Linked DNA regions of Struthio camelus. The protein of the gene in region 3 interacts with the protein of the main gene of each other region in a pairwise test. Links are inferred from orthologs where the notes say so. Each region holds a gene or a part of one and is shown on either strand. Other genes may lie near its edges. The genes, in order: MUL1, CNOT4, UBE2E3 and RNF167.

What was found.
Region 1: the proteins of UBE2E3 (region 3) and MUL1 interact in a two-hybrid assay, tested with the Homo sapiens proteins (2 studies listed by BioGRID and IntAct). The link is inferred for Struthio camelus from reciprocal best matches to the Homo sapiens genes UBE2E3 and MUL1.
Region 2: the proteins of UBE2E3 (region 3) and CNOT4 interact in a two-hybrid assay, tested with the Homo sapiens proteins (3 studies listed by BioGRID and IntAct). The link is inferred for Struthio camelus from reciprocal best matches to the Homo sapiens genes UBE2E3 and CNOT4.
Region 4: the proteins of UBE2E3 (region 3) and RNF167 interact in a two-hybrid assay, tested with the Homo sapiens proteins (2 studies listed by BioGRID and IntAct). The link is inferred for Struthio camelus from reciprocal best matches to the Homo sapiens genes UBE2E3 and RNF167.

The regions. Positions count from the first base shown.
Region 1 is NC_090962.1:12,714,336-12,722,246, reverse strand, and holds the start of MUL1 (mitochondrial ubiquitin ligase activator of NFKB 1), read right to left. Parts: upstream 3,010-7,911; 5' UTR 2,999-3,009; coding exon 2,635-2,998; intron 2,547-2,634; coding exon of another isoform or gene 2,459-2,546; intron 2,307-2,458; coding exon 2,186-2,306; intron 515-2,185; coding exon 1-514. Other genes in the region: protein FAM43B, read right to left, coding at 4,999-5,895. UniProt on the Homo sapiens protein: Exhibits weak E3 ubiquitin-protein ligase activity. E3 ubiquitin ligases accept ubiquitin from an E2 ubiquitin-conjugating enzyme in the form of a thioester and then directly transfer the ubiquitin to targeted substrates.
Region 2 is NC_090942.1:54,558,019-54,565,466, reverse strand, and holds the start of CNOT4 (CCR4-NOT transcription complex subunit 4), read right to left. Parts: upstream 3,009-7,448; 5' UTR 2,926-3,008; exon of another isoform or gene 2,717-2,925; intron 2,499-2,716; exon of another isoform or gene 2,050-2,498; intron 1-2,049. UniProt on the Homo sapiens protein: Has E3 ubiquitin ligase activity, promoting ubiquitination and degradation of target proteins. Involved in activation of the JAK/STAT pathway. Catalyzes ubiquitination of methylated RBM15.
Region 3 is NC_090947.1:18,921,281-18,928,790, forward strand, and holds the start of UBE2E3 (ubiquitin-conjugating enzyme E2 E3), read right to left. Parts: upstream 3,005-7,510; 5' UTR 2,972-3,004; coding exon 2,942-2,971; intron 2,550-2,941; coding exon 2,347-2,549; intron 177-2,346; coding exon 126-176; intron 1-125. UniProt on the Homo sapiens protein: Accepts ubiquitin from the E1 complex and catalyzes its covalent attachment to other proteins. In vitro catalyzes 'Lys-11'- and 'Lys-48'-, as well as 'Lys-63'-linked polyubiquitination.
Region 4 is NW_027182728.1:101,322-109,205, forward strand, and holds the start of RNF167 (E3 ubiquitin-protein ligase RNF167), read right to left. Parts: upstream 3,006-7,884; 5' UTR 2,845-3,005; intron 2,330-2,844; exon of another isoform or gene 2,288-2,329; 5' UTR 1,938-2,287; exon of another isoform or gene 1,762-1,937; intron 1,742-1,761; exon of another isoform or gene 1,352-1,741; intron 1,190-1,351; 5' UTR 1,172-1,189; coding exon 1,088-1,171; intron 1,007-1,087; coding exon 926-1,006; intron 853-925; coding exon 733-852; intron 649-732; coding exon 561-648; intron 1-560. Other genes in the region: SLC25A11 (mitochondrial 2-oxoglutarate/malate carrier protein), read left to right, coding at 3,287-3,363, 4,240-4,392, 4,473-4,679, 4,768-4,858, 5,113-5,203, 5,449-5,548, 5,622-5,673, 5,756-5,911; MINK1 (misshapen-like kinase 1), read right to left, coding at 7,867-7,884.

The DNA.
Region 1 (7,911 bases), on a different chromosome or scaffold from region 3:
TTGCCTGAATTCATCTTGCATTTGCTTGAGGCGCTGCTTCTCTCGATGGTGCCGGTATTGCTTTCTCAGGAGGAAGAAGAGAGTGGCGCAAGTAGCGAAGCCAAAAATGATTGTCAGGATTTTCCAGAGTCTGACGTTGGATTCTTGCTTCTGCAGCAAGGCGTCGAAATCCATGCTGCTGAGATAGTACTGCATTCCCTGCTTCGGGGGCTGCAGTTTGATCGTGTTGTTGTCCAGCACCAGCTCTCCCACCCCCGTCAGCGTGGTTCCCACCTTCAGCATCTGTTCCGTTTCCTGAATGCCTTTGGGACGCTCGCCGCTGATGTAGTGGCCGATGACATCGGTGAAGGACTGGACGGAGGGGTGGAACTTCTCGTACACCGTCTCCAGGCTGAGCTCGGCGGCCTCCAGGGGTTTCATCACCCTCACGCTCACGTCGGCCCCGTCCTCGGGAGGCACCAGGTCAAAGGGAGTCGTGTTGGTCCTCTGGTGAATGATCTTCTCACAGTCGTTCCTGGGGAAGGAGGGATTACCGACTACAACAAACGCAAGCATAAGGAGGAGTTTTGCGCTAGCGCTTCCCCCAGATGAAGTGCAGTAGGGAAACGCAGTACGGTCTGCAGGGTAAGAGCAACACCCATCCCTCTTCGAGTTAGGTGGGGGAAAAAAAGGAGCTACAACTACTGCAAGGAAACAAACAAGCTGCCTGCTGGCCCCGCCTGCCCACCGGCACGCGATACTGCTGCAGCTCCAGGAACTTGCAGCAGGATTCGGTGCCGCACCAGCAGCCTGTCTCGAATTTGCTTAGATCAGGGGATTTGCTTTGCTCGGGGATCGCTCGCACCCGCACTGTCGCCTGCCCTAACTGGAATTCATCTAGCCAAGAACGATGCCGGAGTGGTTTCTCTCCCTGGGGTTATCCGGCTCTGCGCTAGGCCCTCTTCTCTTATCTCCACGCATTTGCAACCTCCCTGGTAAGGTAAAAAGGACGTCCGCCGTCCTGAGGGTAGCGCTCAGGCATATCTAATTCCATCTAATCTCCCAGATGCGTTCCCGGCTCCGACAAACCACTGTGCGGCGAGCAGCGCCGCGTGTCACACGGGCAAGTTTAATAAATGTAATCCGATTAGCTGGGGCTTTGTTTAGGCTCGGAGAGCGCGCCGATGCTCTAGCGTCAACAACTGCCTTCGACAAGGCTGCTCCCGCTTCCGCGGTCAGGTACGACGCTAGCACAAGCGTCTGTCATCCGAATTCAGACTTTTACTAAGGCCCCGTTTTGCCGGGGAAACGTTACACTGCGACCAGCGCTCAGCAGCAGTAACGTAGAGCGGCTGACAAGCGCTCTGCCTGAGCGCTTGGAGCAACAGCGCTCATTTCCTACAGTCCCTATATAAACTCTGAGAGGACACAGCTCTGAAAACAGCAAAACACGCTCCGTTTCAGCAGCTATAACGCGGTCGCGTTGTACTCCGGACTCTCCGTCTAGCCCCTCCGTCAATTTGCCAACGTCTGAAGTCATGTCAACGTGCAAGGCTCTCCCACGGATGGCTGGCACTCAGCTGTATGACTTTCCCACCCCATAAAAAGGATATAAATGAGGACGGTAACCAACTCGTACACCGATTTCCGAGCGCAGATGTTGGAAAGGAAGGGTCCTACAGAAGAGAACTCGTCTCCATGTACACACAAGGGCTGATTTTACAGCAACATGAGCAAAAACCCCAACTTTATTGATTCAAAACCATGCGGCGGCCCAGGAAGAGGCTGGTGGGACATGATTTACGTCTGCTTAACGAGCCACCGAGCTGTTTACTTCCAATCCCCACGTCCGCCAGCACGTAAAGGAAGGGCGGGCAGAATCCAGAGCCGAGCACGGCACGTTAGCCGCTACGTAAGTCGACTTGGGGAGCTGCTACTCAACCTGGCAGACCACCTCTTCGGGGGGGGGGGGCGCGGAGGTTTTGTGGGCAGGCGGACACGCTAACGCGCAAGGGCTAAGGAAGGGCGCCGAAAGCAGCCGCGGGAGGGGTTCGGCTGTCGGGGCTTCAGGCGCTGCCCGAGAGCTGCTTCCTCGTCTCCTCCGCAGTGAAGGCGGCAGGAGGAGGGGGGCACCGGGGGGGGGGGGGCGTCTTTTTCCCCATCCCCTCCCCGCCGGGGCGAGGCGAGGCGAAGCGAGGCCGTTTACCAGAGGTGGGTGGTGCGGTTCCACACCATCTTGTGCTCCTGCAGCGTCAGGCGCTGCACGACGCCTCGGCAGCCCTCCACGAACTGGCTGCTCAGCGTCTCCTTCGCCGACCGCACGGCACCTGCCAGAGGGGTTGGGGGGGGGGGGGAAGAGAAAACAAACACACAAACAAACAAGCCAAAATAACCCCCCAAAGGGGTGTTTCGACGCGCTCCCCCCCCTTGGGGGGGGCGGGTTGAGCGGGGGGTGGGGTGGGGGGGGGGGTGCCGGTACCCTGGACGACGGCGTAGGGCAGGCAGCGGCCCGGCGCCTCCCGCAGGGCGGCGCGCAGCTCCCCGTCCAGCCGCAGCCTCCGGGCGCCCTGCGCACACAGACGACGCGGCTCAGGCCGCGGGGGCCTCCCCCGGCCGCCCCCTTCTCCTCCCCCTCCCTTCCCTTCCCCCGGGCACCTGGAGGCGGCGGGCGGCGCGGGCCTTGTGCCGGTAGGTCGAGTAGAGCAGGGCCGTGAGGGCGGCGCCGGCGGCCAGCAGCGCGGCCTGCACCGCCGACGGCCGCCCGCCCTCCATGGCCGCCCGGCCCCGCTCGTTGCCGCGGCAACGGCCGCGCCGGCGCACCCGTGATGACGTCGATGCCGCCGCCGCGGCGCTCTGGCCGCGGGCTCGATGGTAACCATAGAGGATGGCGGGGAGGAGCTGCCTCTCTGGCCGGGCGGGGCGGTCCTCCAGGGAGGGGTGTGTTGCGGGGGGCGGGGGGGGGGGGGGCCGTGTCGGCGCCAAGCTCAGCGCCCCCCCCCCGGGGGGGGTTCAGCCCCATCCCACCCCCAGGGTCTTTAGGGGGGGTTCAGCCCCATCCCACCCCCAGGGTCTTTGGGGGTGGTTCAGCCCCCATCCCACCCCCCCAGGGCCTTGGAGGGAGATTCAGCCCCCATCCCACCCCCCCAGGGCCTTGGAGAGGGAGGTTTCAACCCCATCCCGCCCCCAGGGCCTTTGGGAGGGGGGGTTCAGCCCCCATCCCACCCCCCAGGGCCTTGGAGGGGGGTTCAGCCCCCATCCCACCCCCCAGGGCCTTTGGAGCGGGGTTCAGCCCCATCCCACCCCCAGGGCCTTGGAGGGGGGGTTCAGCCCCATCCCACCCCCCAGGGCCTTGGAGGGGGGGTTCAGCCCCCATCCCACCCCCCAGGGCCTTGGAGGGGGGGTTCAGCCCCATCCCACCACCAGGGCCTTGGAGGGGGGGTTCAGCCCCCATCCCACCCCCCAGGGCCTTGGAGGGGGGGGTTCAGCCCCATCCCACCCCCAGGGCCTTTGGGGAGGGGGTTCAGCCCCATCCCACCCCCCAGAGCCTTTAAAGGGGGGGTTCAGCCCCATCCCACCTCCCAGGGTCCTTGGAGAGGGGTTCAGCCCCATCCCACCCCCCCAAGGTCTTTGGGGGGGGGTTCAGCCCCATCCACCTCCCAGGGCCTTGGAGGGGGGCTTCAGCCCCCATCCCACCCCCCAGGGTCTTTGGGGGGGGGTTCAGCCCCCATCCCACCCCCCCAGGGCCTTGGAGAGGGAGGTTTCAACCCCATTCCACCCCAGGGCCTTTGGGGAGGGGGTTCACCCCCTTCCCACCCCCCAGGGTCTTTGAGGGGGGGTTTCAATCCCATCCCACTCCCTCAGGGCCTTTGAGTGGGGGGTTCAGCCCCCATCCCACCCCCCCAGGGCCTTGGAGAGGGAGGTTTCAACCCCATTCCACCCCAGGGCCTTTGGGGAGGGGGTTCACCCCCTTCCCACCCCCCAGGGTCTTTGAGGGGGGGTTTCAATCCCATCCCACTCCCTCAGGGCCTTTGAGTGGGGGGTTCAGCCCCATCCCACCCCCCAGAGCCTTTAAAGGGGGGGTTCAGCCCCATCCCACCCCCAGGGTCCTTGGAGGGGGGTTCAGCCCCATCCCACCCCCCCAGGGTCCTTGGAGGGAGATTCAGCCCCCATCCCACCTCCCAGGGCCTTTGAGTGGGAGGTTTCAACCCCATCCCGCCCCCAGGGCCTTTGGGGGGGGGGGGGTTCAACCCCATCCCACCCCCCAGGGCCTTGGAGGGGGGTTCAGACCCCATCCCACCCCAGGGCCTTTGAGTGGGGGGTTCAGCCCCATCCCACCCCCCAGGGTCTTTGAGGGGGGGTTTCAATCCCATCCCACTCCCTCAGGGCCTTTGGAGCGGGGTTCAGCCCCATCCCACCCCCAGGGCTTTGGAGGGGGGGTTCAGCCCCCATCCCACCCCCCCCAGGGCCTTGGAGGGGGATTCAGCCCCCATCCCACCCCCCAGGGCCTTGGAGGGGGGGGTTCAGCCCCATCCCACCCCCCAGGGCCTTTGGAGGGGGGGGTTCAGCCCCATCCCACCCCCCCCCAGGGCCTTGGAGGGGGATTCAGCCCCCATCCCACCCCCAGGGCTTTGGGGCGGGGGGGTTCAACCCCATCCCACCCCCCAGGGCCTTTGGAGGGGGGGATTCAGCCCCCATCCCACCCCCCAGGGCCTTTGGAGGGGGGGGTTCAGCCCCATCCCACCCCCCCCAGGGCCTTGGAGGGGGATTCAGCCCCCATCCCACCCCCAGGGCTTTGGGGCGGGGGGGTTCAACCCTATCCCACCCCCCAGGGCCTTTGGAGGGGGGGGTTCAACCCCATCCCACCCCCCAGGGTCTTTGGGGGGGGGTTCAACCCCATCCCACCCCCAGGGCCTTTGGAGGGGGGGGTTCAACCCCATCCCACCCCCCCAGGGCCTTAGAGAGGGGGGTTTCAACCCCATCCCACCCCCAGGGCCTTTGGGGGGGGGGTTCAGCGGGCGCTCAGCACCCCGGCGGCAGGGCGCCCCGCAGGCTGCAGCCCCGCAGCTCGCCGGCCAGCCGCAGCACGTCGGCCCGCCGCCGGCCCGAGCCTTCCTCCTCCTCGCCCTCCTCCTCCTCCTCCTCCTCCTCCTCCTCCTCCTCCAGGATGGAGCCGAGGCCGGGGGCGCCGCGGCCCCGCTCGGCCGCCGGCGGGCCGTAGGGACGGGGCGCCTTGAGGAGGCGCCGCAGCGGGGCCGGGGGCACGGCGGCGGCCCCCAGGCGCTGCTGCCGCCCGTGCCGCCCGTCGCTCTGCCGCTGCAGCCGCCCGAACTCGGCCAGGGCGCCCGCCGCCGCCTGAGCCAGCAGGCGAGCCACGGCGCCCGCCACCCCGGCCTCGGGCGCCAGCGCCGCGTGGCAGCGCAGCGCCACCGCCTTGTTCTTCGCCCGGTGCCGGTAGACCCAGGCGAAGAGGTCGGGCCGGCGAGCGTCGGCGGCGCAGTGGGTGATGCGGCGCAGCAGGTAGCACTGGCCCGGGCGCCGGGCGCCGGCTTCGCAGGGCGTCAGGCGGATGCCGTGCGGCCCCAGCGTCAGCCGCATCTTGGCGCCGCCGCCGCTCTTGGCCCAGATCTTGCCCACGGCCTCGTCGGTGCAGCCCTCGCCCTTGGCCCGCAGCGTGGCCGCGTGGCCCAGGTAGCGCACGGTGTACGTGGGCGCCTCCCGGCTGAGCTCCGCCGTCCGGCGCTTGCCCCCGAAGAGGCGGCCCAGGCGCCGCAGCGGGCACTCGGCCAGCGCGCCGGGCCAGGCGCGCGCCAGGGCGGCCAGCAGCGAGCCGTAGCCCAGCCCCGGGCCCAAGCTCTTCCCCTTGCCCTCGCGCTCCTCTTCCACCAGCACGAACTTGCTGCGGCGCCAGGGCAGCATCGCGGCTGCGCCGAGGGCTCCTCTGCCGCCCGCGGGGCTCGGCGTTTCCGCCTCACCGCAGTCCTCCCGCGGGTCTCACCGTTCCCGCACCGCCGCGATGCTCCCGCGGGTCTCACCGTTCCCGCACCGCCGCGATGCTCCCGCGGGTCTCACTGTTCCCACGCCGCTGTGATGCTCCCACGGGTCTCACCGTTCCCGCACCGCCGCGATGCTCCCGCGGGTCTCACTGTTCCCGCACCGTCGCGATGCTCCCGCGGGTCTCACCGTTCCCGCACCGCCGCGATGCTCCCGCGGGTCTCACTGTTCCCGCACTGCCGCGATGCTCCCACGGGTCTCACTGTTCCCGCATTGCTGTGATGCTCCCGCGGGTCTCACCGTTCCCGCACCGCCGCGATGCTCCCGCGGGTCTCACTGTTCCCGCACTGCCGCGATGCTCCCACGGGTCTCACTGTTCCCGCACTGCCGCGATGCTCCCGCGGGTCTCACTGTTCCCGCACCGCCGCGATGCTCCCGCGGGTCTCACCGTTCCCGCACCGCCGCGATGCTCCCACGGGTCTCACTGTTCCCGCACCGCCGCGATGCTCCCGCGGGTCTCACCGTTCCCGCACCGCCGCGATGCTCCCGCGGGTCTCACCGTTCCCACACCGCCGCGATGCTCCCGCGGGTCTCACCGTTCCCGCACCGCCGCGATGCTCCCGCGGGTCTCACCGTTCCCACACCGCCGCGATGCTCCCGCGGGTCTCACCGTTCCCGCACCGCCGCGATGCTCCCGCGGGTCTCACCGTTCCCACGCCGCCGCGATGCTCCCGCGGGTCTCACTGTTCCCGCACCGCCGCGATGCTCCCGTGGGTCTCACCGTTCCCACGCCGCTGTGATGCTCCCGCGGCCGAGCTGCCCCTCCGCCCCGCTCCGCTTTGGGAGGCTGACCTGCCGCGGAGGGGTCCCCCGGCGGTGCCGCCCCCCCGCTGCCGGCTCCCTACCCCAGCGCGGCGGGAGGCGGATGCTGCGGCAGGATGCCGCTGGCCTCGGCGCGGGGGGATGCGGAGCCGCTGAGCTGCCGCAGAGGAGCCGGCGGCGGAGCGAGGCGCAGCCGCTCGCCTGCCCGCTCCTGCTGCGTGAGCGGCGGCAGCGGGGACTCAGCCCTCCGTGGGCTGCTCCACCTCCCCGGGACGCGGCATCAGGCAGCGCGCGGGGAGCCCTCGGCAAACGTTAGCCACGCCGGCAAGCCCGCCGAGCGGAGCCCCCCCCCCCCCTGCTCCCCGCAGGGGAAATTAAGGGCGGAGTGAGGTGGCAGTGATTTTTTTCCCCCCCTTTTCCCCGAAGGCTCGGACCACGGCAGCTGCTCGCCCCGCACAGCCCTAGCGCCAGCGACGAGGCTTTCTCTTCAAATCGGGGCGCTCCTCGAGGCGTTTGCTGCCGGCCGCCCCCGGCGGCGCTCGCGTCGGCCCGGCTTGCAAACGCTGCTGCCTTCTCGCAGGTGGTTTTCACTCAGTTCCCCCCCACCCCCGTTTTTTTTTGTTTTTTTTTGCCATATTTGCAGGCCTTCAAGGATGCCCCTCTTGGGTGGAAATTTTAGCTTTTAGCCTCCTGCCGAATCCGAGGCTTGCTCCGGCGTCGGCTCCGCCGCCGAGCCGCCCAGGGAGACCCCCGTCGGCGCAGCGAACGCGCCCCTCCTCGGCGGTTCTTCGCCCCGGCGCTCCACGCCGCTGCGCGTGCTGCAAACCCGACGGCGGCGGACAACCCCTCCTCTCTCCGACGACCTCGAGCCGGCGCTGGTGCAGCGCAGCTCCGCAGCACTGGCAACCAAAATAATAAAAGATGCAAGCCTTTCTTTCGATCTCTTTATTCGGTTGTGTTTTGGTTTTGTTTTCCAGCAAAGGACGCGGTTTGCTCTGTGCTGCTTTGCTTCCCGGCTCTCAGCGTAAAGGATGGTTTCAGGGACAGGATTTCTAGGGCAAGAATGCAGATTTGGGGGTTTGGGGGTGTTTGTCAGCCCGGTTATTTATAGCTCCTGCG
Region 2 (7,448 bases), on a different chromosome or scaffold from region 3:
CAAAACATATAAACTCATTTATTCCAGAGAGGTAGGCAGAATTCCGAAAAACAGTTGCCAAAGTTAAGCCTTCAGGGCCCATACTTAAAACCTTGGTCAGAGTAATTTCAAAACATTTAACATGCAAAGAATATCCTAACTTTCCTGAACAACAGCAAAGGACAACATCTATCTGTTTATAATGAATATGTTTATTTCAAAAAAAAAAAAGCCACATGTGCTTATTCTCTCCCCAACTTCTTGAACTCAAGCTTTTTATTTAATGGGCACTGCATAGCAGCTCTTAAACTTTCTGAAAAAAGGTATCAACAAATTATTTTACAGAGTGCTATTCTTGAAAGGCACTCACCACCTTTTCTCTCTAAACAGGAAAAGCTGTTAGGACCTTCCAAGGGTCATCATTTAAAATGCTAATAAACAGGCACCTGAAAAAAGTACGCAAGTTAAAAGCAAAGATCAATTTTATCATTGTATTCCCCTTTCCAAAACAACCCTTTCCCCTAGAATGAACTCTGATTGCAATTCAGCCAACTTCAACTGCCAAGCATTTCTAAACGCTTGCATGTGTTCATCTTGTTCATGAAACAGAAATTTTATCACAGGATCCCAAAACCTGAACAACACACCTGAATCCTAGACTAGGCACAAGTTTAGTGTATTATTAGAGAGATGATAAGAAACTAGAAGTGTATTTGAGTATTTGTAGGCCACCTGAAATCAATTCATCCTCTCAAACCAAACAGCCAGTTTATTCCCTGCTTTTCATAAACCTGTATCTTTTTTCTCAAAGTGGGGACAGAGAGAGCACAGAAGGAATTTCATTCTTCTACATATTCATTGTTCAGTACTAGTTTTTCCTTCTAGTTAATGCCAGTCATCATGCTTACATGAGTATAAAGTCAAAATATGCAGATGCTTGAGTCCAGACCTTTTAGAACTAAAATAAAACACAGACAGTTAAAACACAGCGAGTTAGAAATCTGTACAGGCTCAGTAAACATGCGATTTGCCAACATTAACTTCTAAAACTTCTGGGTAAGAGTAAGCTAACATCTGTAGGCCTAGAGTTTCCACAGCTTTAACTAGCTAATGGTTTCTGCTTACATTAACATATAAAGAGAATTACTTCTCCTATGAACTACCTATTTGATATTACCATACTGACAGAAATATTCAAGCCATGGACAATTAAATCCTTGCAGGTACAATAACAAAGCAGTCTATGATATTTATCTAGGGTATTTTCCCTCCCCTTTTACTGTACACATGAAAACATTAGCAGCTCAGTTTGACACCGGCAGGTAGAGCAACACGACAAGTCCCTGGAAGTAGGATGAGAGCTCATACACAGCAGTATCATTTGCTTCTGCTAACCCACAAAATGGAACGAGCTGCTAGTATTTTGTGAGTAAGAGACAGAAAGTTACATATCGATTATTTTACAGATAGACAAATCTCAGGGGGGTTACACGGACTATCCAAAATAACAGAGAAAATAAGAGGCTGCCATTTACCATCTGTTTGTTGCGCTCTTAAAAAAAAAAAAAGTGCAAATCATAAGAACAAATGGAGCCTAGCTTTGGGGAGGAGGAAGAAGGGGAGAGAGGAAATTTCCAGGCAAATCCTAAGTGAATCACGCCGCGATCCCGCAGGCCGCCGGCCTCCCCCGGCGGGCGGGCACGGCCGGGAGGGCAGCGCGGCTCGGGGGGGGGGGGGGGGGGACCGCCCCCCCCAACCTGACCAGCGGAGGTTCCCCCCCCCCCCCCGCGCTGGGGGTAGGAACAAATCCATAAATACCTCCCCCCCCGCGGCCGGCCGGGGGAGCCCCCTTCCCCGCGGCCCCCGGGAGCGGCCGCCCACCCGCCCCTCTCCCCCGCGGCCTCCCCGCACGGCCCGGCCGCTCCCGGCACGGGGGGGTGGGCTGAGGCCTGCGCCGTCCCAGCGAAGCCTCGGCGCTCTCGTAGGCAGAACGGCCCGGCTCCCCCCCCCCCCCCCCGCCGCCTTCCCTCCCTCCTTCCTTCCCCGGCCCGGCCTTCAGCTCGCACTCACCCGCCTTCCTCGTCCCTGCCCAGCGCGCAGTGTGTGCGCGGCTCTCCTTCGCGCTGCGCTGCCCGGCGCGGCGGACGGGCCAGGCCGGGCCGAACCGAACCGAGTCGAGCCGGGCCGGCGGAGGCGGGCGAGTGTGCGGGGAAGGAGGAGGAGAGGGGAGAAGGGTGGGGAGGGAAGGAGAGAGGCGGCGAGGAAAGAGAGGAGACGGGGCGGGCGGCTGAAGGCAAAAAAAAAAAAAAAAAAAACCGCAGCGGCGCTCCTCGGGCGGGACCTGTGGCAGCGGCCGACCGGGGGCTTCGACGGCAGCGGCGGCGGCGGCGGCTCTTCCGACGACCTTTATGCGAGAGACGGGTAATCTCCGAGCTCGGGGCGCTCCGCTGCCAGCCCGGCCACCATCTTACATTAGGGAGACTTGCCCTGGACGCCGCCCCCCCTGCGCTTGCGCCGCCGACAGTGGGCGGGGAGGGGCGCGAGCGGCCGCGACGGCAACAGCCGCGACGGCGCTGGGCATGACGGGACTTGTAGGCGCGCGGCGCGGCCGCCCTGTCAGCGCGGGGCGGGGGGTGGGGGGGGGAACTGCCGGCCGCGACGACGAGGAGGAGGAGGAGGAGGAGGAGGAAGGCTGGTCCGCCTTCCCCCCGCCGGCGTAACCCCGGGGCTCCTCGCCACCCCCCAGCCCACCCGGGGCAGACCCTGCTCGCCCCCGGCCCGGCCCGACCCTGGCCCTACACCCACCGCCGCCTCAGCCACCTGTTGCCGGCCGTTAAACCTGTGCGGATTTAAAACGCCGGGTTTATTTTTTGTTTCCTCCCCTCATTGTTTCTGCTTCCCCCTCTCCCTTCGGCCAAAGGCAATCTACTTATTGTCACTTCAGACCTCCAAAAGCGCAGGTAGGCGATGTCTCTGAGGAGGTGGCTGGCAGCCAGGGGAGGCTGTTTGCAGTGCGCGCTTTCGTACTTGGTTTCGCTCCCGTTAAACTCGGCGAGAGGCGGCGAGTCCCGACTACAGATCCCGTTTACAACATCCCGGGAGGGTGGCAGTCTGCTCTTGGCCGGTCCCTCCCGCTCCCAGGCACAGCCTGCCCCGCCGCCCCCGCCGCGCCGCAACTCACAGCAGAGGGGGGACGCGGGACGCGGGCCACCGCCTCCGGCTCTCCCTTCCCCGCGCGGGAGATGGCCAGCTGCCTGCCTTCCTCCTCTTCTTTCTTATTTTCCTTTCTTTCTTCTTTTCTTCTTTTTTTTTTCTTTTTCTCTTTTTTGCCTATTTTTCTTTTTTCTTTCTTCTTTCTTTCTTTTTTTTCCTTTTTCCTTTTTCCTCCATCCTCACAGGTTCCGACCCAGCGTGACAGCAAGATTGCGTGGCTGATGAGGACATCGGTTTTCTGCAGCGGTGAAACGTGGCTACCTCCTGCGCGCCGCCTGCCCACCCGCCCGCCCCGCGGCTGGAAAGCTGCCCCTCTCCCGCCCGGACCTGCTCATCCTATGGCAACAGACACTTAACGCGGTGGTGCCCCTTGGCTAAACAGTTTTTTTTTTTTTTTTAAGAGCTTTGCAGATCGGTTTCCCATTTGGAACAGAAAGGCACAGAAATGAGTGTTTTCTTGGTGTCCTCTCTTCAGTTAGAAAATCTAGGCAAATTCTGCTTTCATGGGCAGGGATTGTAATTAATATTGCAGAAGCAACTTCCTCCCTGGAAATTCTCAGGGAGAGAACCTCTATGCTGCCAAAACACTTGTCTTGCTTCTTTTTTGTCTCTCTTGTCTTCAGAAACTCACCCAAACCACATTGCTTTGGTCTCTTCTTTCTACCGCAGATACTGAGAAACCCAGTGCCATGGGCCTGTTAAGACTGAACCTGTAAATCTACCTCCTTTTTCCTGCAGTCCCAGTATCACACAAAGGGACCTCAGAACCTCAGCTACTAGCCAAAAAGAGTGCTTTTACTCCCAATCTTTATGACTCCAGAGGGAGTTCCTGCACAGGATCCTTAGCTCTTGTAATAGGCAGTTTCATCCTGCATATTTAATCATCAGTTATCTCCAAGGCACAAGTTATTAGTGGTTTTGCCATGGCAACATACACCTGATGTTTTACTTATTTCAGCAATTGCTGGGTGGGTAAGAGAGGTGTTCATCACAGAATGGCCTGCACAGAATGCAGAGGTATAACTATTTTGCTTAGCAGTATGATGCTTTTCTTCTTTATTTTTCTGTCTTACGTTAAAGTGTTATACAGTTACAGCCTCACACCACACACCTGTTCCACTGATAGCGAAGCGTCTTGTGTTGCTGTAGTTTATTCTCTTTCCCACAGAAGTTAACGTTACTTTGTGCATATAAACAGTTTTATATTGATATAAGAATACCCATAACAGGAAAGCTCTATGAATTAACTATATCACTTCCAGCTGTGGGCAAGACCTAGATCTGAATAAAAATAAATACAATATTATTTTCATTAGTAGTCTCAACATGTGAACATAAATGCAGTACTCTTTTGAAAATGAATCCTACAATGGTACTTACAAACCTATTTAATATATAACTGTAACATATATATCATATATGACACATCAGATTCAAGTGCACGTATATATGAAATGAATATATTCATCAAAAACTTTGTTTTGCACATTTTCAGATCAAGCTACCTATAAAGGATTATGTTCCAGAAGTACCCAGTATGTAAGTAACTTATATAAAGTAATGCATTTGTTGACACACCTAGTACTTGGCAATGTTTCCTGTTGAATAAAATAAAGTCCTTTGACTCTGAAAGAAAGATAAAAATAGTACATTTTAAAAGCTGCAATTCATGGGTCGAAATTAAGGCTGCTTATTAAGTGACATTCTGTGTGTTTTATTTTTTTTTTAATTTAGGATTGAGAATTCTTTCCCTTACTAAAGGTCTGTTTATATTCCTTTGCTGAGTCTCACATGGACACCAATTTCAGCACTACCCAATAATAATGTGAAAAAAAATCACATGGCAGAAGGTTATATTGCATTACGTTACTGAAGGTTACACATGGCCTTATGTTTCCACCTCGACTTTTATTTGATGAGAATAATTCACTAGACCATCATGTGGCCATTGTTGGATTTCAGATGTCCTTAAATTATCTGTTTCTTGCTTTGAAGTAATTGTAATTGTTTTGATAGATTATTATTACACAGTCACATTTTGTCACCTTGATGTTTGTTTTTCATTTATTTTGAATAGGTCTGATCACTCAGCAGGATTGTTCCTAAAAAATTTTTTTCTATATCTACAAAGAAAAATGTTCAGAGTATATTTTCTTGGAAATAACCAAAGTATACTAGCTAGAGTGAAAATGTATACCTGTATGATTTATTTATTTTGACTCAGTTACAATTTCCCTGTGATTCTTTACATACACGCTGTCCTGTATTAACTCTCAGTATGTGCTGGGAAGGTACTCTCTGGTGAGATGTCCTACAGTTGGTGTCTTGTGGAAGAAGATATAGGAACCTACCAGAATTCTGCAATTTGGGGTGAAACCAATCTACTTGCATGATTCCTCCTGTTGTTAGTCAACACCACTTCAAATGGCTATATGGAGAAAACATGGCAGAGCTCCGCAGTTCCAGCCACCCTTAATACAAACAGGTTGGTAACGCAGTGGAAAGTCTTGGGAAGGGATTGGAAAGAGATGTGGTGGTGGCGCACTGATACTGGCAGAGAAGGAGGAAACCATGCTTGGGATGAAGAGTAATTCTGCTAGGACTTCAGGATGGTAATGGCTGCCAAAGGCCTAGCTCAGTTTAGATTGTCAGCATTGATAAAATTGATACAGCAGCACATCTCTGTGTTGGGGTGACCATTGGTGCCTTGGTGGTTGCCAGCAATCCAGCTGGCTAGCTGCTAACTGGATTGGTGCTGGTATGTCAGTGTATGCTGGAAATAAATACTGTGTGTGTGTGTTTCATTGTGCTGGTACCAAGAAAATGACTTCAAGATTTGCAAAGTTCATGTTCCTGAGTTAACGTTGGAACCACTGGTTGGACTTGGGTACCTATATTGCATACCAAAAGTCAGTTTTCATAAACAGAAAAAGGATATTCTGCAAAGCCTCATTGATTACTATGGAAAGTTTTCCAATATTAATGAAAAAAGTTTTGGAATAGTTGATGAAAGGATTTTTAGAAATTCAGCCTTATTTACTGCAACAAAATATCAATTGCTCCCTGGACGGCTATGAAAGTTAATGATGTCCTTCCTTTTGTCACTCTGGGAGACCCAGACATCTTTCTACTTCTCAGGCCTTTTACTGGGCCAAGGTACTGGAGAAGGAATGGTATGACTGTTCTGACTACCTACAGAATAATAATGAAGGGCTTTGTGGCAAAACTGAAGGGCAGCTGGAGGAGCCTTACAAACAAGCTGATCAATATTTGCTGCAAGTGACAGATGTTAACCAAGTCTGGTTCAAAATCTATGAGAGAGGGAGGAGGTGTCCAAACTGCTCCGGGAAACAGGATCAGGGATTTGTCCTGCTCTTTCTTCATGGTAAGCATACAGCAGTGGAAAAGGGAGAGAGATTTGTCTTTGTTAATGTTTTTGTTACGAATTGATGTTATTAGGGGAAAATGAGAACTTTAGTGGAATGCCTCAGTCAATTTTTTCAGGATAATCTTTACTGATTCTGGCACAACACACCGTATATGCTAAGTGCATCTGTCTTTGCAAATGAAAGCAGAAATCACTCCGGTTTTCTGGAAAGGGTACAGTAACCTCTGGAAACCTACAGGAAGCTGTCACTGCTCTTGTTAACCCCAGGGTGCTCTTGAAGTAGTGGTATGCATATAGCATCCTAACATTCTTCAGAGGTCTGTTTCCTTCTGTACAATTTCCAGCAAATTTTCCTGTATGTTGTTTTCCTTATCCTAAACTCCTTCTCTGAGTCTAGACATTTGCCTGAAGGCTACACAAGTTGTCACATGTATTCTCTCAGCTCTTTTTTTTTTGCCTTCTGGTCTCCTGCTGAAAGAGATTCACAGGATCCATGGACTTCTCCTTCCTTATCCTCTCTTTTTCCAAACATTTTTCATGCAGCCAGCAGCTTGCAAAGCTCATGCTCCTCATCATTATGGTGCCTCGGTTGCCAGAGACAAATTGCAAATGTTTGTCATTCCTCCTATCAGTGCTAGTGATAATAGGTTTAATTTTTTTCTCAATTTTGGAATGTCATTCCCATCTGCTTTTCCAGTCTGGGCTTCCCTGAGGAATGGATTTTCCCAGGGAACCATTGCTGTGTAACAAAACAAGATGCCTCCCTCTTTCTGGCTCCTTTCTATAGAAATCCTGTGCAGGCGCTGGAAGGGGAAGGAGAGAAGATTAGTGAGCGGCGACTAGTAACAGGATTCAAGTTTGCAGTTCT
Region 3 (7,510 bases):
TTCTGCTGCATGCAATTTCTGTTTAATAGTCATCAGTTGTAAACACAAAAACGTTTCCCATTTGTTAGCCTGAGCACATTAAACTCCTACCACTGTCCACAATTTAAGAAGTTGTTGTTACATACCTGCAGTTAGGAGGAGGATCAAGGGTTATTTCAGCTAGCTCCTTCTGGATTCTGTTGGTGAAATGAGAACAGACACAAAGCATTTGAGATAGTCTATAGAATAAATCAGGGAATTACACTGCCCTCTACCACCATGCAGTTAAATGCAAGATTGGCTTTGCCTTCAGTAATGCTAACATGGCTGCTTCCTCTTTGTTCTCAGAGGCATAACCCAAATCCCACAGCAGAGAAACTTTGCAGCTTTTTTTCTGCTTAATACTGTAAATAAACAGCACGCTTACAACTGAGTTTGATAGGAATTTCCCACAAGTATACAGAAAAGTAACTATTTTTCATATCTGAACACTCCTTAGCAGAGAGATTTTCTTTTCAAGCTAATATGCAAATGAGGTGTGTGTGGGGGGGGAGAGGCTGTACAAGCATATTTAACAATGACTTTAAACCAGGGCTGCAGACCCGTGATTGCAGCTGAAGCAGCGAACTGTGCTGTAAGCAAATACGTTCTTTTGACAATGTTTTACCTGTTACTTTCCAGTAACATTTAAAAAGTAGATTTGCAGATCTGACAGGCTGCCTCGGTTACTGGAATAATCTCTCTGGATCAACTTTGCTCCTCTGTGCACCTTCTGCTGCCTTTCTTCCCTGAAGCTTATAATTTCGAAATAATCTGTGAGCTAGCTTTGCTCTCTATCCTGTAACAATCGTTCCTGAGCTGTTAAGGTCCGGAAGAGGAACACTGAAAACTTTTTGTCAATTTAATAGTTTGTTCAGATACAAGAGAGGTATAAAGTTAAAAGATGCATGGTAAATTCCTCTTTAAAATGTCAAATAAGATTTTTCTTCAAAAGAGGCCCATAAAAGCAAGACCGTTCTTTCCTTTAAATAGGAAGCATTAAAATATGAACTAATAGAAGCTGATCTGAAAGCCATTACACTAGTCATACTAAGTTCAATCAGACTACTCAGCTATTTGAGACTTATGGAATTAGACACACAACTAAGCAAAATGAAGGCAAGAGGGGAAAACTTAGTCTTGAGTTTCTACATGATGTATCGTGGGTTTTTCAAAAAAAGTAAGCAATAATAAATTACAAAATCTACACAGTGCTTCCAGAAATCTTCCTCCAGCCAGTCCTATTTCAAAGGTGTGTTTTTTTAAACGAGCACAGATGTCAAAGCCACCTACTAATGTTCTGCAGTAATATTAACGCATTTCAAGAAGTATTTATTCAACTTAAGTCCCAATGCAAAATTCTAAAACGTTCCTAAAAATTTGAACTGCAGTATTTGTGCTGAATAAGCAAAATTTGAAGCTGCTTAATAAAGAACTTGTATGCATTCTCATGGCTGATCTACAGCTCTTCTTGCTACAGGATAAACTCAGTATTTGTAAAGAAAAGGAACTGCGGAGAAAAGATTGGAAAGTTATGTTTCATCTCAAAAGACCACTGAAATCAAGGGATTTAAAGTTTGCTTGTTTCATAGAGCTGAACTTACAGAATAGGGTTAGCGTGCTTGTCTTGAGAGCTGGACTTCCAGAAATCTTATATGCAAATAAAAATGCACCAGATACAACCAAACAAGCTTTCTAAGGATTTTGGTGCTTAACAGTAGAGTCTACCTATAGAACTCCATGGTTTGAACCTGCAGATCCTAAGGCAAAAGATCCACTTAAATTTCTCCTGAACAAACTGCAGAAACTATTAGGTTAAGGCATGAAAGGCTGCACTGCATATTGACAAGAAAAGCTAGTCATATGGCCTGCAAAAGCCACTTTTTTTTCCTGACTTCTATAATTAAAGAGCATTTCCTGTCACTAGTCTACAGGCTACTAGTGTACACCAGGACACTGCCCTATAGCAGTAAGGGTGAGAAAACTAGCTCTGTGAAAGAGATACCTGGAGCTCACGCACATACTCTCTTGCACATTTTCACAAAGACAAAAAAAGCCAAAAAAAAACCTCCTACCACCCAGCCAGAAAGTTACCAAATTCTTAAGCAACTCTTCAGAAGAAATATGACAAGTTTGTCTGATTACTACCTCAATAAGACCTAGATTAATATTGCCTGACAGACTCCTGTATTTAAAATCTTCACTCTTTTACTTTACTTTCTCATATAGCTTTACAAGAATCCATCTGCCCTGAAAAGTGCAACTGCAAATAGTGAAACTCAAAACACCGTGCAAAAATACTACAGAATATTTTACTATCACTTTTACCTTTTAGCACTAGTAGATAGTTTAGCAGTAGTTTTGCTGGATAATTTGGTGTTCTTCTTCTGCTGGGTTGCAGAAGGTTTTCTTTCCTCTTGCTCTTCAGGTTCAGGTGCTGGTGGATCCCTCTGATCGGCATCTGAACTACCACTGCTGGTACTTGGACTCTCATCATCTGACCTCTGCCTATCACTGGACATCGTGGGGAACTTTTAGGGGGAAGGAGAAGAAAAGAGGCAGAGTTAATGTAAGAGTCAGGACTGTCTCTTGCCATTCCCCGAGTTCTAAAGAGCACTTTCAACTTGATGACAACTCTATTTCACTGAGAAATTAGCCAAAACGCGCCTCTTTGTCTCATCCTCAGCAAGGGCTGTAGTTTGACAGCTACGAAGCAATATTTACACTTCTGAAAATACAGATATTTCCAATTTTTGAACCCACTCACATTTTTTTCATACTTTAAACAATATGCCAATTGTCGACTTTGTTCTAAGCCATGAGACAGATTTAGCAGGGTACTTAGGCAAGGAACATTAATAACTTATGACACATTGTAAATAACAGACCTCACTGAAAATGTTTTTTAAAAAGTCACTAATACCCTGTAAATATTTACACTGGAGCAGAGCATTTTATTGGGTCCAAACAGCCAGATCCCCCCCCTCTCCCGGAGAAAATATATTGCCAGTAACACTCGGGTGGATTTCAGACTGAAATAGACACTTGCTCCGTCCCTGGGCGTTTAAAGGGCTGGGCGGCGGGGGAGGGGGGGGGTTTGTTTGTTTGTTTTTTTTAACCAAGACGCATTTAAATCGACTCGGAGAGCAGCGGCGTCGGTTATTTACAGGGCCAGCAGCACCGACTGCATCTGGCCGCCGCGGAGCTGCTGGGGGCGGGGGGGGGGAGGGGGGGAAGCGTAATTCAAACTGCCCCTTCCGCGAGGCTCCGCCACCGGCTCTCGCTCCGTTTCCACCGCGCAGACCGACATTTTTTAGCCAAAAGGCGGCGGCGGCGGCGGCGGCGGCGGGGGGGGGGGGGGGGGAGGGGGGCTGCCCCCGGAGGCCGGGGGGGCCGAGGAGGAGCGCGGCGCTGCCGCCGCCGCCGGCGCGGGGAGCTGCGGCGGGGCTGGAGGCGGCGGGGCTGGAGGGAGGAGGGAGGGAGGGAGGGAGGCAGCCGCCCGGCCGCGCTTTGTGGGGAGAGCCCGGCTCGGCGGCGGCTGGGGCGGCCCCGCAGCGCCCCGCACCGCGCCGCGCGTGGGCACCGAGCGAGGCGTGAACTCAGGCCGGCCGCGCCGCGCCGCGCCGCCCCGGCCGCCGCCAGGCAGCGGGCGCTGGGAACAAGAACAAAGCTCCTCTACCAGCTCCCCCCCCCGCTCCCCGCCGCCTCCTCCCCGCCTCCCCCCACCGAGCTCGCCCAGCCGCCTGCTGCAGCCACCTCACCCGCCGCTCCTTTACCTTCGCCGGCGTCCTGTCCCGCTGCTGGGTCGGAGGGGCGGGATGGCGGGGGGCAGGGCCGGGCCCGCGGCGCCCGAGGAGCGGACGGAGGCGGCCGGGGGGCTATAAAGCGGCGGCGGAGGCTCTGTGGCCGGGCAGTGTGGAACATTGAGAGCCGGAGCAGGGGGGAGACGGGGGGAGGTGCAGTGCGGCCGCGGGGCCGGCGGGTGGCGCTGGCGGGCCCCGCTCTGCGGCGCGGGCTCCCGCGGCGGGCCGGGGCGGGCGGGCGCGCGCCTGCCGCGGGCGGGGGGGGGGGGGGGCGCCGGCGGGCTCCTGCTGCCGCCGCCGCCGCCGCCCCCTGGTGCCGCCGCCGCGCCCGCGCTCGCCGCCGCGCCGTCAGCAAAGTTCTCCGAGCGAGCGGGGGAGGGGCGCGGGGGGCGCTCGCTCCCGCCTCTCGGCTGCCGGAGCGCGCCCCCCTCTGGGCTGGGGTGCGCGCAGGCGCTCTCCCGGCGTGGCCGAGGGCGCGCGTGCTGCGGGCCGGGCAAGGACAAAGCGTCGGCGCGGGGCAGCCGCCGCGCGGGCAGCGCCCGGCCCGGCCAACGGCCGCGGGCGGGGCCGCCCGGGGCGCGCCCCCAGCTGGGGCAGCGCCTCCCGCCGCGCTCCCGCCCGCCCCCCGCCCCGTGTCTGTGGGCTGGGTGCCACCAGCGTCCCGCGGGGCCCTCGACGGCCCCGGGCTGCGCCGCGTGGCGGGCCGAGCCCTCCCGCGGGCCCATCGGCGGCCCCCGGCTGCGCCGCGTGGCGCCCCTCTGGCCCGGAGCGGGGTGCGCGGGCCGAGCCCTCGACGGCCCCCGGCCGCCTCGACGGCCCCCGGCCGCCCCGCCGGCCCTCGCTCCTCACGTCCGGCGTCGGGCCGCGCCGGGCTGCCACACGCCGGCCACGGGCTCGGGAGCGGGTTCAGCAGTGCCGGAAACGAGCGGTTGGCCGCCCTGCCCTGACTTCCCTCCGCTTTTCCCCTTCTAAAAATCTCGACTCCTTAGCGCGTCTCGGGACGAAAAGCTCCCATTTGGCGTGTTGAGTCTGTAGGAGCCAGGACTCGTTTCGCCCTGAGGTCCGGTGCGCCGAGCGGGCCTTCGACCTCGAAGACAGCGCTGGCCCTGAGGCGCGCCGATGCGGCGGCTTGAGGAGGCCAAGTACACCAGGAGCTCCTGTGTCACGGACAAAGCGGTGGATCCCTACAGCAGCAGGGGTGGTACTATACAGCCGGGCTGCTTGTAGTGAGGGTGTTCGGCCTTACAGGCGGTGTTTTGAATTGTTCCATAAACAGCCCGAGTGCCAAATTCTGAATTTTTTTGGAAAAGGAAAGAGGATAATAGATAGCAATTGCAGTAGGTGTCAGTGGGAAGATCATTTCACAAGGGAGATAGTACAGGGTGGAGATTTAATTTCTCTTCTGGCCTGTCATGGATGTGCTGTTCTGGGGTGTACAGGAACAGCTATCCACACTAAACCTTTAGAGTACTCGGTGTGGTAAAAGCAAGCCAAGAATTGAAATAATATGAATATTCCGAACTTACCAAAGTGTCTGATCATCCTGATAATAAGATCTACTTGTACGTGTAAAACGCTATTTGTGAACACTAGACAAGGTTGTGTATAACCAACTTCGGCCGAGAAGGAATTAACAATTACTGTAAATGTTTGTACGAAGACAAAAGGCAGCAATCGACGTGAAATCTCTGGTGAACATTGCTGTCCAACGCAAGGGCTTTCACCTCAATGGCTTTTACCTCAAGGGCTTTCATTATCAACAGCCTAATGACTTAAAACTACTGTATTTTCTTAGGTTTAGTAGGATCAAGGGGTCAGAGAGTGTATACTGTGCTCTAGAGGGAATAAACAGTCGGTGTGTCAGGGATGACAGTTTTCTGGGTAGCTGAAGTTAACTCAGTTGAAAAGTATGCTAAAGATTTGGTGAGAGAGTTGAATGATGTGATGTGGAGAAATACTGGAGGTTTGTTTGTTAAAGTAGGCTAGAGAGAATTCCCAGATCACCACTACAGGCAATTTGCCCCTGAGGTATGCTGTAGAAAATTCCTAGCATAAACAGTATCTGGCATGATGAGCAATCTGGGCATAATTAGTAAAAGAGAAGCGTGGCAATATCAAAAACCTATCAGTCAGCACTGGGAGCTTTTTTTTTTGCTAGTCTGTTGAAGATGCTTAAGATGAGACTTGCTGGAGCTTTGAAAGTGTAAGTTTTCGGTTTTTTATTTTATTTCAGGTGAAGATTAGCACAGGCATCCAAAAAAAATGATTAGCAGGGTATGCGTCTGCAGAGTGAATGCAAGTAGACTGGTCAAGGGTTGCTCGCCACATCAGCTACTACGTGTTGGTTTCTGTGTGGCTTTTAGGATACAAAATAAAAATAAAGCCCATTTAACAGAGATTAATTGAAAAGCCGATGTAGATTATTTTTTCCCAGCCTGTTGTACTTTATTAAAACAGATTTACTAAAGCAACTTGTGGATATAAGAGATGTTCATTTGAAGATGTTCATTGAAGATGTTCATTAATTTGACATCAAGTCTCAAAGGATGACACTTTTCTTTTGTGAGGCTGTATTTTCCTTAGGTATGTTTGTTCTGTTGTCAACTGTATTAAAAGTAGTATATTGAGAGATATGGTATATTTTGAACTAAGGGGAGAAAGTGCTGATTTTAATAGCCATACTTTTAAAGCCACATATCCCAATCTTTGTGACTTTTCATATCGCTTGTGATTTTTCATCAGTGTAATTTTAACTGATGTACCTATCATGAATGCTCTTCTGCTGCCAATTTATTGGATCACTTGAACTGTGAAAATGCAGCCAGTATTGTGAAGTGCAGAGCCTTCTTAACGATCATTTAGACTGGTCCAAGCAGTTCTGGGCACTCAGGAGTGGGTGAGGCCTGCGTTTTTTCCCCAATCAGTGGCCTCTGTTTTTATCACAGGCCCTCCTCTCAAAAGCTGTTTGTGTTTTTTTCAGAAGCCACATGTCGCTTTGGGTATATCTCCGTCTCTATTTTGTCAGAGCACAGGTATGAAGGTACTGTCAATATATGGAGGCTTAACAACTGCTTTGGGCTGCACAGACATCTGATAATATTTTTCTAGGTTTAGGAATTCACAGTTCAGTCTCCTCCATCTGACATGAAATGCTGTGATAACGAACAACTCAATGCATGGCAGCAGAACTAGAGAAAAAGGCACTTTCTGCCTCTCTCAAGGAGACTGAGAGAGATGGAAAAATCATTGCTTGATCTCCTTGCCCCTAACATTTTAAGGGTATATAGATGGTAAAATAAGGCCAGCGTGCATTTTTCATGATTAGGAGCAGCTCAGTTGAAAATACTACTTAAATGTTTACAGTCATATACTACATCTTCTTTATCACAAAGTCATTGTTTCCTGACAGTAAATATATCTACCTAGCAATGCATCTTTCTGTCCTATGTGTGTTTCCATACCAGGCTGTGTCTTTTAAAGCACCTGTTGGAATTCTACTAGTGGTACAGCTAGAGATGCACAAACTGCAGAGTCAGGAAATGAAGGAAGTATTGTTTTAAGATAGATGTGATGTGATAAAATTGAGATTGTGCTTTTATTATTATTTCGTGTCTAGCAACTAGTGGCCCTTGTGAGGTAGACCCCATACAGATATCCAGTGAGTCTTTTCCCCAGATAATTGACAATGT
Region 4 (7,884 bases), on a different chromosome or scaffold from region 3:
GGGGCCGCCACAGAGCCACCATGGCCGCCACGGGGCCATGACGGTCACCATGGGGCAACAACAGGGGTGGTGGCCACCACAGCCACAACAGGGCCACCATGGGGCCACGATAGGGCTGTGATGGCCACCAAGCCCACAACAGGGCCACAACAGAGCCGCGACAGCCGCAGCTGGGCCACAGTGGCCATGATGGAGCTGCAAGGGGACCATGATGGGGTCATGACAGCTGTGACAGGGCTATGACGGAGACACAGTGGCCATAGTGGAACCATGATGGCCACAACGGAGCTGTGACGGGCCATGATAGAGCCACGACGGCCATGACAGAGACGTGGTGGAGCTGTGATAGGGCCACCACAGCCATGATGGGGCCACGATGGCCGTGATGGAGCCGCAGTGGTCACGGTGGAGCCATGACAGGCCACGAAGGAGCCGTGATGGCCACAGTGGAGCTGTGTGGGCCATGGCGGAGCCACCATGGAGCCATGATGGAGCCGGGACAGAGCCGGGGCCACCGGGAGAGCGGAGCGGAGCCGCCGCGTGGCCCGGCCAGCGCTCACCATCGTTCCAGACCATGTTGAGCAGCTTCTCCGAGTCCACGTTGTGCACCACAGCGGCCCCGAAGCCGGCCTGCTGCGCGTGCAGCACCTGCGCGGGGCGGCGGCGAGGGTCAGGGCGGGAGGCGGGGGACGCCTGGGCCCTTCCAGCCTCCCCCCCTCCCCCACGCCCCACCTTGACGTCGAAGTCGCAGTCGTAGCGGCGCACGAGGGCGATGAAGACGGTGCCGTTGGCGCCGGGCGCCGGCGCGATGGGCCGGCAGGCGTTGCTGGGCCGCGCCTCCACCACGAAACCCTGCGCGGGGGGGACGCGTCAGGGGCCCCCGCGTCCCGGGACGGGGCCCAGGCGTCCGGAGGAGGCCACCTACCAGCAGGCCTTGGCGAGGCAGCGGCGCGCCGAAGAGCGCCGGCAGGTCGGAGAACTCCATGGTGGCGTTGGGCCCCAGCACCTGGCGGGGAGGGGGCGGCGGCGGCAGTGAGCCCCGGAACGGCCCCCGAATCCCCCCGAACCGCCCCAAAACCCCGCTCACCGCCTGGATGTAGGTCTCGGCGGGGGGTGTCAGCAGCATGGCGGCGGCGGCGGCGGCGAGGAGGGCGACGGGGCCCGGCCGCATGGCGGGGACGGCGGCGACCTGGGAGGTGACGGCGGCGGCGGGTCGGGGCGGCCCCCGGACACCTGGGCTCGCTCCGCGGTGGAGGGGGCCCAGGCGTCCGGGCCGGCGCAGTGGCGGGGGGAGGTGGCGCGGCGAGGCGTGGCGAGGCGTGTCGCGGCGTGTCGCGGCCCCGGGACGCACCTCACCCCGATAAGCGCCGGGCGAAGTCCGCCCCCCCAGCCCACACGCCGCCCCGCTGCGGCGCCGGGGCCCAGGCGTCCGGCCCCCCCGCCTTACCTGGGGGGGGCGACGTGTGGGGCTCAGCGCCGGCCCACGGGGCCGTGGGGCGGACGCGTGTCCCCCCCGCCCGGGGGGTCCCCGTGTTTACGCCCGCAACATGGCCGGGCGCTCTCGCGAGAGGAGGAGGAGGAGGAGGAGCCGCCGCGTCCCGCCCCGGACGCCTGGGCCCCGCGCACGGGTCGGGGGGGCCAACGCCGGGTCCGGCCCTGCCTCGGACCCCCGTCGTGGGGTCGGTCGCGCGTGGGGGCCGGCGCCCCCCCGCCTGGCGGTACCTCCGGCGGTACTCCCCGAGGGCGGCGCTCGGGCCGTACCTGGGCTCCGGGCGAGCGTTTGGGGGTGCTTCGCGGGGCGGGGGGCCCCGGGGTGCCCCTCCCCGGGGCGGTACTCGGCCTTGGGGGCAGTACTCGCGTGGTACTCCTCCTCGGGGGTGGTACCGGGGTGGTACTCCTCCTCGGGGGGGCTGCAGTGGTACTGGGGTGGTACTCACCCTCGGGGGGTGGTACTGGGGTGATAGTCCTCCTCGGGGTGGTACCTCCTGGTACTTTGAGGCAGTTGGGTGGTACTTCCCATGGGAGGTGGTATTTGGAGGTACTTCTCGCCGGGGTGGTACCTGGCAGTGCTCCTCCTCGGCTGGTACTCCGGTACCCGGGGGCGGTACTGCGTGGCGCCCCGCCTCAGCGCTGGCTGGCGGCGGTACTCCGGGGTGCGCCGGGAGGGTGGTACCCGGCGTCGCTCCTCCAGGGCAGGACTCCTCCGCGGGGGTGTTACCCTGCGGTACTCCTCCGCGGGGGCCGCGCTCCCCTGCGCAGGTGGCGCTCTGCGGTGCTGCTGCGGCTGCTGCTCGCCAGTACCGGGGGGGGGGGGTGTTACTCGGCGGTACCCGTATGTGTGTTACTTGGCGGTACCCGGCGGGTGGGGGGGAGGGGGGCTGTTACTCGGCGGTACCCGGCGGGGGGTTGTTACTCGGCGGTACCCGGCGGGGGGGGGGGGGCTGTTACTCGGCGGTACCCGGCGGGGGGGGGGGTGAGGGGGGCTGTTACTCGGCGGTACCCGGCGGGGGGGGGGGGAGGGGGGTTGTTACTCGGCGGTACCCGGCGGGGGGGGGGAGGGGGGTTGTTACTCGGCGGTACCCGGCGGGGGGGCTGTTACTCGGCGGTACCCGGCGGGGGGGGGGGGTGAGGGGGGCTGTTACTCGGCGGTACCCGGCGGGGGGGGGGGGGGGAGGGGGGTTGTTACTCGGCGGTACCCGGCGGGGGGGCTGTTACTCGGCGGTACCCGGCGGGGGGGGGTGAGGGGGGCTGTTACTCGGCGGTACCCGGCGGGGGGGGGGGGGAGGGGGTTGTTACTCGGCGGTACCCGGCGGGGGGGGGAGGGGGGCTGTTACTCGGCGGTACCCGGTGCCTCACGGCGGGGGGGGGGGGGGCGGTGGGTCGCGCTCCTCCTCCTCCCCCCCCCCGCCCCCGGCGGCTCTTCCCGCCAAAACCGCCGCGCCAATGGGCGGCCGCAGGGGTGCGCGCGCGTCTGGCCCGGCCCCGCCCCTCCGGCCGGCCCCCTCAGGCCCCGCCCCCTCAGGCCCCGCCCCTCCGGCCCGTCTCCAGCCCGCCCCCGCCCCTGGAGGTCCCGCCCCTCCCGTCCCCGGTGGGGCGCAGGCGCCGCGCGCAGGCGCAGTGCGGCGGGCGCCGCGGCTGCGCGCGCAGCTCCCCCCCGCCTCCCCCCGTCGCCCCCCGCCCCGGAGTCACCTTGGTGCCGGGCGGCCGCGCCGCACCGGACCGGACCGGAACCGGACCAGAGCGGACCGGGCCAGACCGGACCGCACCGGCCCCGGCAGCGGCCGAGATGGCGGCGGCGCCGGCGGCCGAGAAGCCCAAAACCTCCCCCAAGTCCGTCAAGTTCCTCTTCGGCGGCCTGGCCGGGTGAGCGACCCCCCCGACCCCCTAGAGCCCCCCTCAGGGCCCCCCCGACCCCCTAGAGCCCCCCCCAGAGCCCCTAGAGCCCCCCCGACCCCCTAGAGCCCCTAGAGCCCCCCCGACCCCCTAGAGCCCCCCTCAGGGCCCCCCCGACCCCCTAGAGCCCCCCTCAGGCCCCCCCCGACCCCCTAGAGCCCCCGACCCCCTAGAGCCCCCCTCAGGCCCCCCCCCGACCCCCTAGAGCCCCCGACCCCCTAGAGCCCCCCTCAGGGCCCCCTCCGACCCCCTAGAGCCCCCGACCCCCTAGAGCCCCCCTCAGGGCCCCCCGACCCCCTCAGGGACCCCCTTGACCCTTCAGGGCCCCTCCGATCCCTTCGGGGCCCCATGCTCCCATCAGCCCCCTCAGGAACCACCCCCCGGACCCCTCAGGGTCCTCCCAATCTCTTCAGGTCCCTCAGCAGCCCCCCACTACCCTCATCAGAGCCCCCCCATCCCCTTGCAGACACCCCCAACTCCCCTCAGCCCCATCACGGACCTCGCAGCCCCCCAGCCCCCTCCGTCACCCCCAGGGAGCCCACCCAGCCTGAGCCATCGCAGGGTCCCGAGACACCGGCCCCCTTCTCCCCGCTTCCCCTGCCCCGGAGCTGCCTCGGGCAGCTCTGCTCCGTCAGCAGCTCGGCGCAGCCAGATCCCCCCACCAAAAGACGCTGCCCTGGGTGTCAGGCTCCTTCCCCAAACGCCTCGAGGGGCCGGCGCGGCGCACGTGCGGGTCACGTGCTGCAGCAGAGCCCGGCCGGCGCTGCTCCGGCTGCCAAAGCCGTTCCTCGGTGGCGGCGGGGGCCGCCCTGCCCAGCCGCTGGACCCGCTGCTGCCTGCCCGCAGCATGGGCGCCACCGTCTTCGTGCAGCCCCTGGACCTGGTGAAGAACCGCATGCAGCTCAGTGGCGAGGGCGCCAAGACCAAAGAGTACAAGACGAGCCTGCATGCCGTGGGCAGCATCCTGCGCAAGGAGGGCGTCCGCGGCATCTACACCGGGTAGGCGGGACGGGGAACGGCAGGGGGGCGGCGGGGAGGCCGCCACGCTGCCCGCTGAACGCCACCACCGCCCCCGGCAGGCTCTCGGCCGGCCTCCTGCGCCAGGCCACCTACACCACCACCCGCCTGGGCATCTACACCGTCCTCTTCGAGAAGCTGACGGGGGCCGACGGCACGCCGCCCGCCTTCATCACCAAAGCCTTCATCGGCATGACGGCGGGCGCCACCGGCGCCTTCGTGGGCACCCCAGCCGAGGTGGCCCTCATCCGCATGACGGCCGACGGCAGGTGAGGCCAGCGGGGCCCCGCAGCAGCGGCGGTGGCGGCCCCTCACTCCCGCCGCCTGCCCGTGGGCCCCCACTTTCCTTCCCCCCAGGCTGCCCCCTGCCGAGCGGCGCGGCTACCGGAACGTCTTCGACGCCCTGCTGCGGATAACGCGGGAGGAAGGCGTCCCCACACTGTGGCGGGTACGGCGCGGCGCGGCGGCGCGGTGGGGGGGTACTTGGTGGTCCCACGCTCCGGTGTCCTGGGGCGTCCGAGGCAGTGTGGGAGGGGGGCCCTGGGGTGTCCCCGCACGCTGGCGCAGCAGCGTGGTGGCCCTGGGGTGGCCCCACACTCTGGCAGGTCACGGCATGGGGACATGGGGATCTCAGGACGTCCCCACGCTGTGGCACGGGGGACCCCAGGGTCGCCCTGGCCCCGCTCACCCTCTCGCCCGCAGGGCTGCATCCCCACCATGGCCCGGGCGGTGGTGGTCAACGCCGCCCAGCTCGCCTCCTACTCGCAGTCCAAGCAGTTCCTGCTCGACTCCGGTGAGTCGCGGCTCCGGCGGTGTCACAGCTCCGGCGGCGTCGCGGCTCTGGTGCCTTCACGGCGCCGGCGGCATCACGGCTCCGGCTGCGTCGTGGCTCCGGTGCCTTCAGCGGTGTCGCGGCTCCGGTGGCGTCACGGCTCCAGCAGCATCATGGCTCCGATGTTGTGACTCTGGTGGCGTCGCGACTCCGTTCTTGCGGCTCCGGCCCCACTGACGCCTGCTGCCATCTCTCCCCTGCGGCAGGCTACTTCCGCGACGACATCCTCTGCCACTTCTGTGCCAGCATGATCAGCGGGCTGGTGACCACGGCCGCCTCCATGCCCGTGGACATCGCCAAGACGCGGTGGGTGCCGCGGGCGGTGGGGGCTCCCCTGAGTGCAGCCCCCCCGCTCACCACCCTCCTTCCCCCCACGCAGCATCCAGAACATGCGGATGATCGACGGGAAGCCGGAGTACCGCAACGGGCTGGTAAGCGGGAGCGAGGGGCCGTGGGCTGCCGGGGCTGCCGCGCACTGGCCCCGCCGCGAGCCCCCCGTCTCGACCCTCGCAGGACGTGCTGGTGAAGGTGGTGCGATACGAGGGCTTCTTCAGCCTCTGGAAGGGCTTCACGCCGTACTACGCCCGCCTGGGCCCCCACACCGTCCTCACCTTCATCTTCCTCGAGCAGATGAACAAGTACTACAAGAAATTCTTCCTCAGTGCCTAGCGGCAGCCCCGGCCCCAGCCCCGGCCCGGCGGTCTCCCTGCGCGCCTGGCCCCGGCGGGGGCACCCGAAACATGTCCCCCACCCTCTCCCTGCTGCGCTTGGAACATAGTAAAGAGCTGTCGGTGCGAGGAGGTGGCAGTGCGGGTGGCGTCGGGGCACGATGGTGCCACGGCGAGTGGGGCCCCCCCCGTCACTGCCCAGACGCCTGGGTCCCCCCGGGGTGGGGTGCAGGGTGAGAGCTAGGAAGCAGGTGTGTCCCCCCCCCCCAACCCCCAGTGGTTCCAGTGTCCCCCAGGGTGGTGCCGCCATCCTTCCCACAGTGGCTCTGTTGACCCCACCCCACCCTGGCACCAGCTGTGCCTTGTGGTGTGAAAAACCCCCTCGTGGGCCACATTAACCCCTCGTGGGCTACGTTAAACCCCGGGTGCACAGTGGCGCTCCCCTGGGTGCTCCCTGCCTCGCCCTAGGCACCCGCACCCTTGTGCGCGCCCAGTGCCTGGGCCTCTCCTTCGCATGCTCCTGCCTGGGGGCAGCTGAGGGTCCCTCAGAGGCCCCCAAATGCCCCTCTCATGCCCCTCCCACGTCCTGCACGCCCCATGTGCTGCCCACAACACCCTCCAGTGCTGCATGGACTCCCAAGCAACCCCAGCAGCATGGCCCCCCGCCAACCCGTGTGCCCCCTGTCCCTGCTGGAGAACGAGGACAGCTCAGCCAGGCACTGTGGACGCTAGGGCCTGCGGTTGGGGGGGGGAGTGGCAGCCAGGACATGCCCCCCCTAAAAACTCCACACCCCTGGAGCACCTCCATGACCCCTAAACCGGATACACTGGCCTCCCTGCACAGCCCTATACGAGCCCCTGGAGACTCCCCTCCCCTCCCCGCGCAGCCCTATACGAGCCCCTGGAGACTCCCCCTCCCCTCCCCTCCCCGCGCAGCCCTATACGAGCCCCTGGAGACTCCCCTCCCCTCCCTGCGCAGCCCTATACGAGCCCCTGGAGACTCCCCTCCCCTCCCTGCACAGCCCTATACGAGCCCCTGGAGACTCCCCTCCCCTCCCCGCACAGCCCTATACGAGCCCCTGGAGACTCCCCTCCCCTCCCTGCGCAGCCCTATACGAGCCCCTGGAGACTCCCCTCCCCTCCCTGCGCAGCCCTATACGAGCCCCTGGAGACTCCCCTCCCCTCCTCTCCCCGCACAGCCCTATACGAGCCCCTGGAGACTCCCCTCCCCTCCTCTCCCCGCACAGCCCTATACGAGCCCCTGGAGACTCCCCTCCCCTCCCCTCCCCGCGCAGCCCTATACGAGCCCCTGGAGACTCCCCCTCCCCTCCCCTCCCTGCACAGCCCTATACGAGCCCCTGGAGACCCCCCCCCCCCCCCCCCGGGGCCCAGGCGTTCGGCGATTGAAGCGGGTGGCTGCGACCTGGTTCGGTGCTTTATTACAGCATCTCAAGGCCACGGTGGGGGCTGCCCCGGGCCTACACCCCCACCCTCGAGGCCTCCGGCCTCTGGCCCCGCCCCCTGGAGAGCCCCCCCCCCCCCCACCGTGGGGCACCCCACGGCCATGGGGCCATAAAGTGCTTCATTAACGAGTTTCTCGTTACAAAATAATTAAAGCAAAATATACAGAGAGCCGGGCGCCACTGTGGGCCCTGCCCCACGGCACAGGGGACCCGTGGTGGGACCTGCCCCATGGCCGCGGTGGGGAGAGCCCATGATGGGACCTGCCCCACACGCGGGCCCCACGGTGGGACCTGCCCCACAGGCGGTTGGGGGGGGCGGTCCCGCGTTCAGCAACAATGGGGCGGGGCAGGAGCAAAGCCAGGGCGGGGCTTCAGCCTGTCAGTCAAACGCCGTCGCCGTGGAAACGGCTCTTCCTCTCCCAAGAGCAGCCCGATGGGTGGGGCCGGGGCGTGGCCCGGGGAGGAGGCGTGGCTCCCGGCGGGGGCGTGGCCATCACCAGTTCATGACGCA